Sus scrofa: one gene and its partner. Each later gene encodes a partner of the first gene's protein in a complex. Links are inferred from orthologs where the notes say so. Each region holds a gene or a part of one and is shown on either strand. Other genes may lie near its edges.

Region 1 (3,883 bases):
CATGAACCCTCACAGAGTGGCTTTACCTGCTTCGCTGGACAACAGGATGGCACTGGGGGAGGAGAGTGGGCTGGCACTGGCCTGCCCCACCCCAGGAGACCAGGGGCTGGTCTTAGCGCCTTTCCTCTCCGGCCTCCAGCCTCTCTCAGGAGCTGAGCAGCCCAGAGCAGAAGGCAGAACTGAGGGAGGGAGCCCTTCGCTGGGACCTGCCCCGGGTGCAGGGAGGCTCGCAGCTCTCAGGCCTCTTCCAGGTATCAGCCGCTGGTTTTCGGAGGCCCTCTCCTTCCACTTCCATTTCCAGCCCCTGGCGCTTGCCTCTGAGTGCGGTGGGTCAGCGTGATTGGCTTCCTGGCCCCTCGGCTCCCCCGCCCTCCTTCCTCTCTGGGCCTTCAGCACCCTCCCCTACCTCTGCCCCTCACAGATGGATGTCCCGGGCATTCCTGGGCCTCCCGGCCCAGGGCCCTCCGGCGCGGCTCCTCTGGGGCTGGGCCCTGCCAGCCTCTCCTTCGAACTTCCCCGGCACACGTGCTCCGGCCTCCAGGTTCGCTTCCTCAGGCTGCCGTTCAGACCCTGCGGCAACGCCAACCCCCACAAGTGGGTGCGACACCTAAGCCACAGTGATGCCTACGTCATTCGGATCTGAGGCTCCCGAATAAGGACTCAGGCGGCAAGAGCGGGTCTGTGTAGCAGAAGGACGATGTTTTCTCCTCCAGTGTCCTGGCCTCTTGCTGTGGGTGTGGCTCGAAGAGTCCTGTGTCCTAGAGACTAAGGGAGCTCGGTGGGTTCAACCCTCCTGTGGGATCTGCCCTGGGAAGGACTGGGGGACCACACCTTAAAAATGAAACTTTTATTCTGAGGAGCTGGCTGTACAGTATCTAAAGAGAAGGTCACGCGGAGGAAGCTACGCCTTCCTTCCATCTAGCGTGCGCGAGCCTGTGTGTGTATGAGTGTGAGTCCGGGGCAGAGAAGGTGGGCAGGCCTGTGACAGCATCAAGGCGCAGGCTGAGGGGAGCCAGATCCGGGGGGCTGGGAGCCATTAGCCTTTGGAGTCCCCGGGGCGGGAGGGGGGCTCTCCCCCGCTTCGGGCTTCCCCCCACAGAGGGCGCTGCCCCCAAGCGGGGAGGGGGCGGAGGGCAGGGAAGGGGCTGGAGAAGGATGGGAGGTGGCGCCTCCCTTGCCCTCCCCTGTGGGGGGAAGAGAGACCACAATGTACTTCTGGACACTGCCGGGACCAGAGGGGGCAGTGCTGGGGGGCGCGGCCGTGGCGGTGGAAACCAGCTTGACGATGGGCTGCACGCTCGGGACGGTGGTGGTGACGGGCGAGGTTGTGGTAGAGCCTGAGCCGGGGGCCGAGGTGCTGAGGGACAGGACCTGGGCGGGAAGACAGGCAGTGCGTGTTCCCTCCCCACACCCCAGGCCTGGGAGATACTCCCCTCGCTCCAACCAAACAATCAGTGACACGGCGACACTGCCCACGGTCTCTGCTTCCCCATGCTCCGCTTACCTGCTGGGTGGATGAGGCGCTGGAGGACGATGACATTACAATAAACTTGGTTGGGGGAGGGGAAGGCTGAGGTGGGGCAGCAGCTCGTGCAGACACCAGTGTCTGGACAGGCAGTGCGATGGAGCCAGGGACCTTCAGCAAGCCAGGGGTCCGAGGGCCAGGCTGGGGGGCCTGTGAGAGGGTCAGCGTGGGCCGGGGCTATAACAAGAAGAAGCAGGAAGAGAATGTTGCCAAGAGTTCCCACTGTGGTGCCATACATTAAGACTCCAACTGCGTTGGCTCAGGTCCCCAGTTTGGTCCCCGGCCCAGCACAATGGGTTAAGGATCGGGCGTTGCTGCAGCTGTTGGCGTAGGTCACAGCTGCCACTGAGATTCCAGCCCTGCCTGGGAACTTCCATAAGAAAATGTCTCCATCTATGAAAAACATTCACCAGCTACAGAAAGAAGGGCTCCTTTTGCTCCTCAGTGGGTCTCACTGGGGTTCGGCCATTGTCAGCAAGGGGGCCTAGACTCCCCCAAGACTGCTGGCTCGGGGGCCCTGTGTCTTGTGCTAGTGAGCGTGTGCTTGTGTGTCTGTGCCAGGACGAGAACCACCCTGGGTTCTCCACTTCGCCTCACCCTCGTCTCCCCCTGCTCACCCCCGCCCCACACCGCACCGACCTGGGTGATGGTCAGGGTGGTCCTGTTGACCTGCTGAGCCTGCAGAGCAGCCTGGGCCCGGGCCTTGACCACATGGGAGCAGAGGAGGGGCCCGAGGGACCCAAATTCTGCCCGATAGGCATCTTGGTTGTCAGGTGGCGGGCGCAGCTTTGCCAGAACCGGGGCACAGTGTTTCTGCAGAAAGAAGGCAAAAAACAGCCAGGTAGAGGGAGGGCTGGGACTCAGAACCTTGACGGGGAAGGGGCGGCAAAGGAGGCCACCCACTGTTTCAGTGTGTTCCTGCTGGAGGCCAGTTGGCACTGGGGTATCAGTGTGTGTAGAGAACACGGGCGCCAGCTGGTGTGAGAGAAGAACATGCTGACTACACTGGTATCATCTAGGGCCCAGCTGGTCCACTGGGCGTAGGCCTTGTGCAGAATAGGCTAGGGCGACACAGAAGCATCAGGGGCCATGCAGTTTCCAAGTCACAGGCTGAGTCTTAAGACCTTATTTCTCTGCCTTTTTTTTTTTTTTTTTCTTTTTCTTTTCACAGCTGCACCTGCAGCATATGGAAGTTCCTGGGCCAGGGGCTGAATCGGAGGAGACCTCGTATTTCTTTCTTGACTCCTCAGTGCCTCAGTCTTTCCATGTGTAAAACGATATGGGACTCGGAGGTGTGCTCTGAATGTATGAGGGAAGACTGGCAAAGGGAACAGAAGATGCTATATATACCCTTGCTAAACCCTGTTGTGTGTGTGGCGGGGGCGGAGGGGAGATTTGTGGGAAGAAGTGGGGGAGGGCAGGGGCGGGGCTTTGTCACCAGGAGGAGGCTCTGCACGTGGTCAGCCCCGATGCGGTCAATATTGCTCAGCACCGGGCCATCCAGGACCCCGCGGATCCGCTCCCCCTCCTGCTGTAGCCTTGGCAGAATTAGAGTCTTAATCACCTGTTGGAAAGAAAGGGGAGAAGCCAGGGCCCTGGGGTCACCACAGGGTTTCCTGGGTCCGGGGGTGGTGGCCCGCTATGACCTCCCAATCCCTCCCCTCCCCCAGTGCTCCCCCCAGCGTCTAACATCGTGTCCCAGCTCTGCCAGGCCTGCGATGGAGCCGTAGCGCGTTGTCCACGGGGTCTTCTCATCCACCCAGCTCTGTAAGGGGCCAGAAAATAAACCCAAATAAAGGGGCATGAAAAGCTAACTGGTAAGGACCCCAGTCTGTCATAAACACGCTTTCTTTGTAAATCATTAAGACACGACAGATGTGGCTCAGGTCCCAGTTCCTATCCCCCTGCCCGCTGCCCCTGGTTTTCCATGTTGTTTACCGCAGCCGCACGGGTTTGGGTGAAGCTCTCGTCGTTCTGGTGACGACCCCCGGCAGTGACGTGAGAGGGCCCCTGCACCTCCAGCTCACCTTGGTAAAGGTCTTGGTGATTCGAGACTGGATGTTGTTCGTGGTTGTGCTGAAGTGCTTGCAGATCTGGGCCACCAGGCGGGCGGCAAAGTCCCGGAGCGCCCAGTGATTGTCCACGTCTGGCCGCAGGCACAGCTGTCTGCTCACGATGCAGGTCATCACAGCTGGGATCAACTCGTGCACCTAGGGGAGAAGCCTGGAGTCAGCCGGTGCTGACAAGTGGTCCCCTGTTGGTGGCGGCAGGGTCCCCAAGGACGGGGATGGCGGCAGGGCAGGCAGGTCCACTCACATATTTCTCTAGATACAGAGTGGGGTTGTCCATCAGCGCCTT
Region 2 (4,498 bases), on another chromosome or scaffold:
GTAGGTGGCAGACACGACTCAGATCCCATGTTGCTGTGGCTGTGGTGTAGGCCAGCAGCTACAGCTCCAATTGGACCCCTAGCCTGGGAACCTCCATATGCCGCAGGAGTGGCCCTGGAAAAGGCAAAAAGTCAAAAAGTCAAAAAGTCAAAAAAAAAAAAAGAATGAAGGGATCAGTGGCAGAGAAATAAGACTAGGACGATAACTCGAAGCCTAATGGTGAAAGGGCCTGGAATCTGTGAACATGGATCTGTGACAGTGTAAGGGAGGATTGTGAATTTGGTGGGATGAAGATGGCAAGATATAAAGACAGGAAGGGGAAGTTCCCTCATGGCTCAGGGGATTAAAGATCTGGTGCTGTCACTGCTGTAGCTATGGTCAGAGCTGGGGCATGGGTCCCACCTCTGGCCTAGGGAACTTCTTCAAGCCACAGGAATGGCCAAAAAAAAAAAAAAAAAAAGAAAGAAAAAGAAAAAGAAGACAAGGGAGAGCAAATTGCTGCATCAGTTCAGGTAGGAGACAGCTTTTCCTTGTGACAGTTACTGCTGTTCACTCTGGGCTGTCACAGCACTTTGTACTCTCCTTTATGTTTGCAGGTTCTCCATCTTAGTGTGTGGACCTGGGCTCCAAAGGGACTGAGGCTGGAATTGTGTTTTGTTTATATGCCTAGCATCTAGCATAGCATAAATAAAGCAACTGTCACCATGCATTTGATGGAAGAGATAACCAAAGGCATCAGTTTAATGGTTGAAGTACAGTTCAGGCTTTGGAGTGAGAATTTGTGAGTTCAATTTGAGACTCTGCTTTTATTAGCTACTTAACTTGCTTAATCTCACAGATTTCCTTTAAATCGTTAAAATGATTTACCGTAGGTTTAGAAAAATTTCTGGCAGATAGTAAGGGCTCAATTATTACTATTATTATTAACTGCCTATTCACAGTCATAACCCAATCGGTCTCCCTTGTCCTCAGATTTTTCCTGCTGGGGTCCAACGGGATATCTATGGAGTGTTGCTGTCCCACGAGTTATTACCTTCCTGATAGCACGACAAAGACACCAACCAAAAATGGCGACCTCTAAGCCATCCGAGGACGTCAATGCTGGTCATGATAGCGATATACACAGCAGGCAGAGTCGGAAAGAAATAGCTAGGGCAGGGTTCGTACCGCCAGAATACAAAGCGCATAGTTTGCTTACACTGCCCATTAACCACAAGCCGAAAAAACCTAACCACCAGAACTGAGCTACAGCGCAGAACGGCGACCACGTGTCGGAGAGCAGTCTGCGCCTGCGCAAAGCAGGCGCGCGCCCGCCAGCCGGAAGAGCCGCGCGTTTCCGGGTTGGAGGCGGGGAGCGGTGCCGGAAGTACTCGGGGAGGGCCGAGCAGTCGGACCGGCTGCTGAGACGAACGCTTCACTGGGGCAGTCTCCGCATATCATGGGGAGATAGACGCTGCTGCCTGTGAGTCTTGGGCCCTGGCAGTTGAGGAATAAGAGCGGGAGGAGGGAGTCAGGACCCAGACCACAGTGGTCAGTGTTCGAAGAGCCAAATTGTGAAGGAGACTGGGCTGTGTGAGGAATCAGGCTCGTGGGACGGGACTGAGGGGCTCGGGGATCGGAGAAGACGCGGCTGTGGGGACCTGGGCTCCAGACGGGACTTAGGGAACCGGGATGGATGTGAGTTCTCCCGCACGCAAGGGAAAGCGAGTTGAGAGAGATAGGATTATGAGGATCCGTGCTTCTAAGAGGAGAGGGTCGGAACTGAACGGGGTGTGAAGACACGGACTCCTGAGAGGTAAAAGCGAAGCTGTTAGGACTTGGGCTCTTAAGCGGCAGAAGCGGAACAGTGAAGACCCAGGCTTCTAACGATTCAGAAACAGGGCAGCGAAGACAGGTTCCTGAGAGGCAGGAGCGGTAAGAGAACATTTGGGTTTGGGAAGAACAGGAGCGGGCAGTGAAGACGCGCTTCTTTGGGGACCGGATCGGGGCTTGCAGACTCCGAAGTACCTGAGGGAACAGGACTATGAGGACCTGAGATCCTAAAAGCGGAGAGTGTAAGGGGCTGTGTCTGTAAGTAGATCAGCCTCCAAGGGAAGGGGAGAGAGTTTGAAAAAGACATAGTGATCCTTCCCCCATCCCCTCATATTCTCTGAACCGGGAATGGTAAAGGATGTATTCAGGGGAAGACGACTCCTTCACGCTGCCTATTTGGCTTTTGGCAGGCTTATCGTGTCAGAACGATCTAGGAAGCCAAGCATCTTCGTTTTCTGCTCCTTCAGGAGTAGCACTGGTGTGAAGTTAAAGCAGTTTGAACTCAGTTGTGTACTTTATAAGTGCTTTAAATCCCATTCCACTCAACTCCGATATTTAGCATAGATCTCTGCATTTCAAAGAAGAGAATGACAGAGATGGAGAGACCCCGGAAATATCAGGCGTCCCCCCACACCCCCGGGCTTGCAGCGGCTTTATGTAGGAGGATATCTGTTTCTCTGTTCCCAGACCAGGGTTTGGAACAGCAGCGGTGAAAGCACCAAGTACTAACCACTAGACCACCAGGGAACTCCCAAGATCATCTTTTATAAACTCATATTTTACCTCTAAGGAGGCTAAAGTCCAAACAGGGCTTAGGGTTACACTGAGTCAATGATTGATTAGATGGAAATTTTGTTACAGTACCCTGCTCTGCATAGCAAATGGGAGAGGCTCGGTTAATACTCCTTGAAAACATGCTTCTAGAATCTTTGCTCTAACTTCAAACTCAAGAGGGAAATTTTTACAGATTTAAGTACTTTGAGTCTTGTTACTGTATTGACATTGATGCAGTGAATGTCACTTACCAGTTAGGAAACCATTAAATGAAGCCCCTTCCCTCTCAAAAATAGTCATTTAGAAAGTTCATATAGGTAAGTTGTATCCTGTATTTTTAGCATAAGCATTTACTGGAAATAGCCGCTTTCAGATAAGGATGGTGGAGAGACTTGGACTAGTCACTTCCCTTCTTCAATAATACCTTTTACTGAAACTTACTCAGACTAACCAAACACCATCATAAGCACTTTCAAGTATTAAATCATTTAATTACTGCTTACTGCCCCACCAGTTAGATATTGTTAATCCCATGGCACAGATAAGGAAATCAGTGCAGAGACGTTAAATGTTTCCCTGAAATCACATGGTACTAAGTGGCCCAGACCCAGTCAAACTCAGGTGTTTGAAGTTTTTTCTGCTTTTCTAAGTGGATTCCTCGCCTTGTCTCAGTTTGCCCATCAGCAAAATTGCATCCTCATCTATCTTTGGAAAATGTGCTACTTATTTCACTCATTTGTGGCTCTAGCATTGATTGAATTATTATAATAGGATTTCTAAGAATGTACCTGATAGAGAATCATTGTGTTAGAGTGGATATGAACATAGAACATATTACTTTTAGGTCCCGGGGAGGCGGGTGCTGCTTTCATGGCATGCAGAAATTCCCAAACCAAGGATCAGACTTTCACTGCAGCAGTGGCAATGCCAAATCCTTAACCACTAGGCCACAAAGAAACTCCAGAACATGTTATCCCTCCCCCCCCCCCCCCCCCCCGCCACAGCTGCACCAAGGCATGTTTAAGTTCCCAGGCCAGGGATCAAACCCATGCTGCAGTTGCGAACTATGCTGCAATTGCAGCAACGCAGATCCTTTAACCCACTGTACTGGACCTGGGATCAAACCTGCCACAGGTTCATGAATTCAAAGAACATAGTACTTTTTACTCAAGGTGTTTGGGGGAAGTCCCTAAGTACTTTGGAAACAATATATCGGCTGTGTTTACAACCAGTACCATGAAACAGGTGTGTTGGAAGCAGAAGACAAACTTTAAAATCAATACATACCTGTCGTGGTGCAGTGGTTAACACATCCAACTAGGAACCATGAGGTTGCGGGTTTGACCCCTGGCCTTGCTCAGTGAGTTAAGGATCCCCCGTTGCCATGAACTGTGGTATAGGTCAAAGACGCAGCTCGGACCCCCAGTTGCTGTGGCTGTGGCGTAGGCCAGCATCTACAGCTGCGATTAGACTCCTAGCCTGGGAACCTCCATATGTGCCAGGAGTGGCTCTAGAAAAGGCAAAAAGACCCAAAAAAAAAAAAAAAAAAAAAAAAAAAACAGTACATACAGACTTAATTTTAAATCTTAGATACTAGTTGTTGGAGTTGGAGGGAACTTTAGAATTTGCCTGGTCCTTCTAATTATGTAGAAATTCTGGTTAAAAGGAGCTCACATAACCCAGTGGTAGAACTAGGATAGCACTCAGCCCAGCTGACTTGAGTCTTTTTTTTTTCTTTTTTTGCCACACTCATTGCATGTGGAGGTTCCCAGGCCAGAGATCAAACCCCAGCCATCGCAGCACCCCAAACCACTGCAGCGATAACACTGGATCCTTAGCTGGCTGTGCCACAAGAGAACTCCACTGTTCTTTTTTTAATGTCTGTAGTAATAAGAATGGTTATAGGATGTCA

What was found.
Region 2: TAF6 (region 1) and TAF12 share a complex: the UniProt entries of both Homo sapiens proteins name them as parts of the TFIID basal transcription factor complex. The link is inferred for Sus scrofa from reciprocal best matches to the Homo sapiens genes TAF6 and TAF12.

What each region holds. Positions count from the first base shown.
Region 1 is NC_010445.4:8,016,843-8,020,725, forward strand, and holds the end of TAF6 (transcription initiation factor TFIID subunit 6), read right to left. Parts: coding exon 3,842-3,883; intron 3,736-3,841; coding exon 3,553-3,735; intron 3,291-3,552; coding exon 3,216-3,290; intron 3,090-3,215; coding exon 2,964-3,089; intron 2,339-2,963; coding exon 2,165-2,338; intron 1,703-2,164; coding exon 1,505-1,702; intron 1,372-1,504; coding exon 991-1,371; 3' UTR 857-990; downstream 1-856. Other genes in the region: AP4M1 (AP-4 complex subunit mu-1), read left to right, coding at 140-251, 422-643. UniProt on the Homo sapiens protein: The TFIID basal transcription factor complex plays a major role in the initiation of RNA polymerase II (Pol II)-dependent transcription.
Region 2 is NC_010448.4:85,639,922-85,644,419, reverse strand, and holds the start of TAF12 (transcription initiation factor TFIID subunit 12), read left to right. Parts: upstream 1-1,349; 5' UTR 1,350-1,462; exon of another isoform or gene 1,463-1,914; intron 1,915-4,498. UniProt on the Homo sapiens protein: The TFIID basal transcription factor complex plays a major role in the initiation of RNA polymerase II (Pol II)-dependent transcription.